Schizosaccharomyces pombe: one gene and its partner. Changing the gene in region 1 together with any one later gene gives a genetic interaction. Each region holds a gene or a part of one and is shown in the gene's direction. Other genes may lie near its edges.

What was found. Genes that interact genetically often act in the same process or in processes that back each other up.
Region 2: of dph3 (region 1) and pcr1, a mutation in one rescues a mutant of the other (synthetic rescue), as found in Schizosaccharomyces pombe (one study listed by BioGRID).

What each region holds. Positions count from the first base shown.
Region 1 is NC_003424.3:2,853,488-2,857,671, reverse strand, and holds dph3 (diphthamide biosynthesis protein Dph3), read left to right. Parts: upstream 1-1,977; 5' UTR 1,978-2,009; coding exon 2,010-2,052; intron 2,053-2,094; coding exon 2,095-2,156; intron 2,157-2,215; coding exon 2,216-2,350; 3' UTR 2,351-2,503; intron 2,504-2,581; 3' UTR 2,582-3,267; downstream 3,268-4,184. Other genes in the region: msh3 (DNA mismatch repair protein), read right to left, coding at 1-209, 245-1,741; rpl4102 (60S ribosomal protein eL41), read left to right, coding at 3,753-3,823, 3,876-3,882.
Region 2 is NC_003424.3:4,251,642-4,255,233, reverse strand, and holds pcr1 (DNA-binding transcription factor Pcr1), read left to right. Parts: upstream 1-1,633; 5' UTR 1,634-2,315; coding exon 2,316-2,831; 3' UTR 2,832-3,092; downstream 3,093-3,592. Other genes in the region: L-azetidine-2-carboxylic acid acetyltransferase Aca1, read right to left, coding at 1-374. UniProt on the Schizosaccharomyces pombe protein: Involved in regulation of gene expression for sexual development. Binds and activates CRE sites (cAMP-response elements, also known as M26 meiotic recombination hotspots).

The sequences.
Region 1 (4,184 bases):
TCCTTGAACATGTCAACCTTGTTGTTATTTTCAGCTTCTTTTTGATCAAACATTCCCAAGAAATGATCAATGATAGACGATATGCTAGGAAGCTGTTGAATTAGTCTTCTAAGCAATGCTGACTTAAAACAAGAGTATGAATTTTTCGAGAAAGCAGATGCGGCTTTATAAAAACCCTTCAAAACATGGAACATTTCAGACGGAGTGCACTACTGTAAGAAAATGAAACAGAAAAATAACTTACCCTTTGATAGTAGATTCTGGACAGACCCTTTTCGAGATCGGGCAATCTATACAGCATTTTACGAATTGCTTGAACTTGACTATTAGAATTAAAGGCTAATTCCTCAACCGCGTCCAGACGCTCGATTATATTTTCTTTATCAACCAAAGGCTTTTGAAGCCATCTCTGAAGCATCCTTTGTCCAAATCTTGTGTATGTGCGATCTAACACCCAAAATAGGCTACCAACAGGTGTATGATCTGTTTGATTAACGAAAAGCTCAAGACCTTCCAAAGCCTGTTTACTTAAAACCATAGAAGAAATGCTATCAAAAGGTTGATAAAAGTTTGAAGCAACGAATAGATCTTCCAATGAGAATTCCATCAAATAAGAAATGGCCATGTCCAAACAAATGATTGAAAGAGAATGTAAAGACTTCACCTTTTCCATGTGTAATTCTATAATTTTGCTACCGGACATGATGCATTTAGAAGAAAAGAAGTCCTGCAAATTCTCCAATGCTAGTTTCACGTCCTGCTGAACAGCATGTTGCACACGCACTACTCTACCGCAAGTTTTTTCAGTTGATACGTAATGATTCAGTAGGGCAACCGATTCGGAAGATAACTTGTTCGAATATATCAATTCACAAGGTTGAAAATGAGAAAGTCTTGTTTGTAATTCGCTTCTCAAAAAATCATCTTGAAAATGATCATAAACAGTAGTTCCAGATGATAATTGTATGGCAATTAGTCCAACCTGAACTCTTCCTGATTTTGCTTTGCTCTTATCAACATTATCTGCAACACATAGGATAAATTGGGAAGCTTGTAGTGTACCATGCTGTGTTTGCTCAAAGCGAAAAAAGCTATCATCTAGAGTAGTCCCCTTGGTAAGCACGCGAGCAACTCGTCTGTCAAACAGAGTGTTTCTGCTAGAGCTAGTTGACTTGAGAGCGGCTGTTTCAGTTTGTCGAACAACAGCAACTTTGAGACCAAAATTAATGAGTCTTTCCAAGTGATAGTCAATACGATACGAGGGAACACTAGCATTTAAAAAATTGTGCTCAAAATAGCAACTAATTCCTAACACCTCAGAGGCTATTTTTGCATCCTTCCCAAAAAATCGGAACTTATATCCTACTTCAATTGCCAAAATAGTTTCTTGATAATTTTTCTTCAATTCTAAGTATTGCTGCTCAAGTGGTGTGAAAACAGATTTCTGTTTAGTAGGTTTCGATGCTTTTCTTTGCACTAATTCTTTATTTGAAGTAGATTTAACCGTACGAATTCTCCTCTTTCGTTTTATGCTTATAAGAGGCGCGTTCTCATCAATCGAAGAACTTCCCTCATCTTCTTGATAGCTATTTTTTGAACTACCAACATTATTTTCTAGTAACTCTATGGCTGGACCACTGAGGGCAACCATATCTTCTGATATTGCTCCTTCATGTAAATTATCTGATAGAATATTAATAGCGTCGCATTCATGAGTAATGTTATAACTCATTCCTCTCATGTAATAAAGCGAAAATAAAAACTGTACAATCAAATTTGCTCAACATAGATTTGTAACGCATTTATAGTTTCTAAATGAATATAGGCGGACGTTTTAAAAAATACAACAAAACGGTAACAAGTAAGTATCGTTCTCCTCTAAATTACAGTAGATTCCATTTATGTTAAACTTAGCTTGTAGTTTTCATTATGGGCGGTTCCCACATATAAAACAAATTTTTGGTGGAGTGGCCACGCACCTTCTGCCAGTAGTGCATTGAAGCGGCAAAATGTCATTTTACGACGAAATCGAGTTAGAAGATTTCACGTTTGGTATGTATTTGTTAAAAGTTGAATACTTTTGCTAATTAAAAGACGCCGGTACGAACTTGTACACTTTTCCCTGTCCTTGTGGGGATCGCTTCGAGATATCTTTGGTATGTATTGATACGCAATTTCTTAATATTTTGGAAGTTTATACTAATTCATTATTTAGGAAGATCTTCAATTAGGGGAAGATGTTGCTCGTTGCCCAAGCTGCAGCTTGATTGTCCGGGTGATCTATGATGAAGATGAATTCATGGAAGTTGATAACGATGCTTCTACAGCACCTATAATCATTGCAGCATAATTTTTCCCTATAATTTCTTATTTGGTTTTTTACTTCTATTTATTCTCAAAATGTCTTGAAATTACGAAGGATAGGAGGGCTACTCTTTACATCGTGATATCCTCAAAATTTATTTGTTTAGTTTTCTCAGATCACTGGTTTTGTATTGGCATAGTACGTTTGTTGTTCATTCTATTAATAATTAAACTGTATCTTTTTAGTTGAATTTGTAAGTTTTTAACAACACTTTAGGCAAGTTTTTTGAGCGTACGACTTTTCCAAAGATTATTTTGCCCATATAATACAGTTTACTTATAAAATAATTTCTATTACCACTAGCTTCCGTAAGCATGCGCACCTCAACGGTAACTTTCTTTCTTCAAAATTAAAATGAACAACGCCTCTGCAAAACATTAAGGGAAGAATGGAAGAAAATTTAAAGAGAACTTCATTAGGAAATAACAATCTTTACTCGAAACTAAAAGCCCACCTTTAGCTATTTTTGTTAAGTGATAAATTATTGCATTTCTGCGTATGTTTTAACAACGCATAATTTTAAAACACTTTACGAAACGAGTTTAAGTTTATAAAATAGCTTTATAACTTATTCTTTCAAAAAAACGTTTTCATTATTACAAATAATGGATAAATGCTATTCAATTTATTCTTCGTTTCAAGATTGTGGAATTAAAATGAATTCGTACTTGTGCTCAACGTAAGTACGTATTGAAGTCCAAGTTGCGATCAATTCCACAGAATTTTGAAATTTCATTGCTAAAGCATTTGAAACTTATCAGTTGAACTAAAAGCCAGCTACTTAACAGTATTTCCATCAATTTACTTATAAAGCAATATCATTCCAGCTTTAGTGCGACATACCACAGTGGAATCTCAAATTTATTTAGAAGCTTAAAAGGGAATTTAAACATTACGCAAATGTAAGCTACGCAGTTTGGTATCTAATTTAAGGATACGTAGAACTGCGGTGAGTTTTCCTTGTGATCTATTATATTACAATACACAGGTTGTATAAGTAGCAACTGAGTATAGGTATTGTATTAACTGGGTTATAATGTTACCTATCACTAATATAGCTCATAACTGAACTGAGGAACGAGGTTCAGCAGTAGCTCTATTTATAGTATTCAGATAATATTGATCTTAATAGATTATCATTAAGATCAATCTCCATATCGTATCATACATGGTACGATATATAATTAGAACATGTGACATATAGTGATACTCAACGTAGTGTATCATAGCGTAGTGTAGTATTGCTGACAGCAAACTTAATTAACGAACTTTTTATAATATGTTATTGCATATAGCACGACGCTATCTCATATGCCAGAGCCAAAGAAACAGTCACATTTTCGTATATCTAACATGTGGCCTACAATACATTTTTACCACTGCCAAGATGCGTGATAAATGGAGGAAAAAACGCGTGCGTCGTCTCAAACGTAAAAGAAGAAAGATGAGAGCCAGATCGTAAGTCTAATATAACTGAAATTTTTTGTATTTTTTGCTAACTGAGAAATAGTAAATAGATAGGCTCATCCATTTGCGCCCTCACTAAGGAGCAATGAGTAAATTGCAATACCTTTGAAATAACTAGCTCAATTTGGCTTGCAAAGGACGCAGAACATTTACTCAAATAAAATTTCACTTTATCAACCAATTATATATATATATATTTATCATGCGTACAAGAGTAGTAATGTTTGTTTTGCAGCATGTTTATTTTGTTCTCGAATTATTAAATAGATACCCTAATGGTGTTATCTCGTCTGTAAGCATAAAGTATTTTAGTATGGGACTTAGTGGATAGTGTCATTTATGAACGGTTCGG
Region 2 (3,592 bases), 1.4 Mb from region 1:
GGTGAAACCAAAAATCCACCATTACAAATATGAGAGCATCGACCGGGATAGTTAGGCTTAATGTAGAAGGCACCGAGTAAGCTCGTTTTCCAGTCAATTGAAGCCGTAGCCAAATCTGGAGCAGGTGATGTCTCACTCTCAACAGGAACACAGATTACAGTACAAAATTTAAAAAAAAAGTCTTCCGCTTCATTGCGAGTCATTTTAATGTCGATTGGATAAGTCTGTCCCATCTCTATTTCATAGTTGATGAAATAAGTCAAGGTACTGAGTAATTCTTCTTTGTTCTTAACGTTTGTAGATTTATCAACGGCTATGCACCAAGCATTAAAATCAGTACATCTCCATGGAGGAATAGTATTTGGATCCTTCATGTTGGGATATGGATTATGAACAAAATTAAAGGGATTTTATAGCCATGTGGAGTAGATAATTTAAGCGACAAACACATAGATAAATTATCATCACTCAAACTCATCAAGATGCCATCTTGATATACAACAGGAAACAACTGTATGATATACAGAAATAATGTGATAAAATCATCAAGTCGAAGAGATAAATCAAATGATTAAAAATATGCAAGGAAGAAATCTGTTGCAAGTAATTCCTAGAGTACGGTAAAAAGCGTTATTTGTTAGAAGCAAATAATTAAGTATTTTAGAATATGAAAGCGAGACGAAGTAATAAAGCTCTCATTATTCATGTATTAGATGATTTTCGATTTTCTGTATGCTTGGTTAATGCTTGTACATATTCATGTCTGTGTATTTTCGGTTTGCGAAACATTAGATCGACTTCTACATCAAGCTAATGGAAACGGTTTAATATTTCGGTGCTATAGATTAAGTCTTTCTTCCTTGTTAACGAATGAAGAATCCGATATTAATTGTCTTTTCTTTATTCACTCATTGCAATTTCTCATATTCTTTTATTGTTTATTAAATAGTGAAGAATACATGTGAGATGATAATAAAAATAATGAAGTACAGTATAAAGTGAAGATGCGAAATTTTTAGGTTAGTGGTATTGGAAAATAATTAATTATACAAATTCCAAAAAAACACAATTCAATTAATATATTTATATTAAGTGCAGTACCTGAACCTCCTGTTTTAATAATAAAACGAATTAAAATGCAGTTACTTTGGAATTGACTATATTTTTGCTAGAGTTTTTTAATTATTTAAAATCTTTAAAATTTATTTTACCAATTTTACGTTCGCACAAGGATAAAATATTTACATTTCTAAAATAATTTAAAAATTTTCACTTTTAATCAAATGATTCATTTCCATCAACCAAATTAAAATTGTTCGCCTCATTTTTGGTTCTTTTAAATTCACCGATGCTTTTTCGTCTTTTGTATCCACGTCTCTCACAATTCATTTGCAAGTCAATTTTCTTTAGTATTGTTTCTTTTTTTTAAAATATTTTTCTTTTTATTTTCTCAATTGTGTCTGTCTTTCTTCGCAAGTCCACTAACCTTTATTTACATCAAAATCGGCCATGTATTAAATTTCACTAACTCTCGTTATTCTGTTTATCGATATAATTACAGCCTCCTTGTCGATGACATCATGCATCGAGCATTGATCATCCTATATAATCATCTCTTTGACCACTTCCGTCTATGGTCCATTGTAGCTTATACCATTGTAAAAGGGTAAAATCCTTTCATTCTACAGAGTTGTTAAAATTTGATTTTTAAATACTAAATTTTCTTAATTTATTCGGTTTTCACAGTGGATTCGCTTTTTCTGGGTCATTAAACAGTTAATTTGGTAGTTTGGTGAGACATCCTTGCAAATCAAGTGTTTGTATAACTTTTCAGAGAGTATAACATATCAACGTATTTATTGAAGTCGTTTGGGATCTCCTTTGTTAGTTAATTTTGGGTCAACGTGTGCGCTGTACATTTGACGTGTGTCGTGAGATTACAAAAAATTTTAGGGGTCGGTTTACTTACGAATTAATTCCCCCACGTGTGTGTTTTTAATCTTAGAAGACTAGCGCTTCTATAGAATTGACGTTTCTTGACGTCTTGTCATTCTTCTGTATTCCTTTAGAAACTGGCTATCTCCGTCTAATTTGCTTCCTCCTGATTTCGCGCGTGTGTCGTGCTAATTCTTTACTGCGTGTTGTATTCACCAAGTAGGAGTTTCCTTTAAATTAAAATATATCCTTTAGGGTATTTCTTTTTTCGTTCTTACTTTTTTTTTCATTTCAATTTCCCATCTCCCCCTTTGTTTCCTTTGTTATATTTTTGTTTGTGATCATCTGATTCCCCCTTTTCTATACATTGATTATTTAAGATGACTGCCAAAAAAAAAGAAGTTGATGATGAAAAGCGTCGCCGAATTCTGGAGCGCAATCGCATTGCCGCTTCTAAATTTCGCCAGAAAAAGAAAGAGTGGATTAAAGAATTAGAGCAAACTGCCAATGCTGCCTTTGAGCAATCCAAGCGTCTTCAGTTATTGCTGTCTCAGTTGCAACAGGAGGCTTTTCGGCTGAAAAGCCAATTACTTGCCCATCAGGGTTGTCAGTGTAGTGTAAAGATTCGTTCTGTCCTAACAGACTTTCAAACTGCTCACAATGCTCTCCACTCTCAACATATGGCTTACCGGCCGGTACAACCCCCTCCTGGTGATAACATGCTTGAATCTGTGGTTTCCGTTAGCCCTACTCAAATGCATCCATCATTGCAGGGTCTCCCTCCAAATCAACACCCTCAAATGCCCCCTTCTTCTCAGCAGCCTAATTCCGATGATGTCCAGCAACATATGTTCTCAGCAGCCGGGCTTCCTAGATCCCTTGGTGGGCCCATCTGAAAAAGAACATTTGTTTTCATTACCCCCCTTTACAATAAAGCAATTGATTTTAATGTGATGTTGCATGTAGATTTATGGCTCCTATTTTAGCCTAATGTTCTCTCCTAGATGACAGTCGGGCGTTTTTAAGTGTTGAATTACCGATGCATATGGAATTCTTTTCAAATTTCTGTCCTTATTATTTTTTTGCACAGACGTTTTCTTTGTTATGACCTTTATCTATTATTATTTCGAATTTCCTCGCCGGGTTTTCAAAATATTTGTCTTTATGAAATGTGAAAAGAAAATAACTTTACGATGCTTATAAACTTCTTTGAAGTATGACTTTGCGCTTGCTACATCTCCACTTACTTCTTCGATGTATTTGATTTGATTTCTTGAACTATTGCCAGATTGCCTATTCTCGTCAGTTACCTAAAACATAAAAAATGTTCTTCTTTCTAAATGTACAGATTTATAATTTCATTTGGCAAACTGAAAAAAAGATCTTAAGCTATTAATTTGGTTTTTTTTTTTAAAAAGCTCTGGTTGGAGCAACTGTGGTATGCTGTTGATTTTATTTGTAAACAGTAGAATGTCTCTTTTTTTCTTTCAGTTATTTATACCACAATCCGTGTATCATGATGCAAAAGAAGTGTCTGCGTTAAAGCATCACTTTCTTTAATTTCCCAACTGCATTCATTATGTAAATAAATAAATATTCACGTTATTACAATTTATCTCATTTATCCAATCTGTTCCATTTCTACTGCTCTCAACAG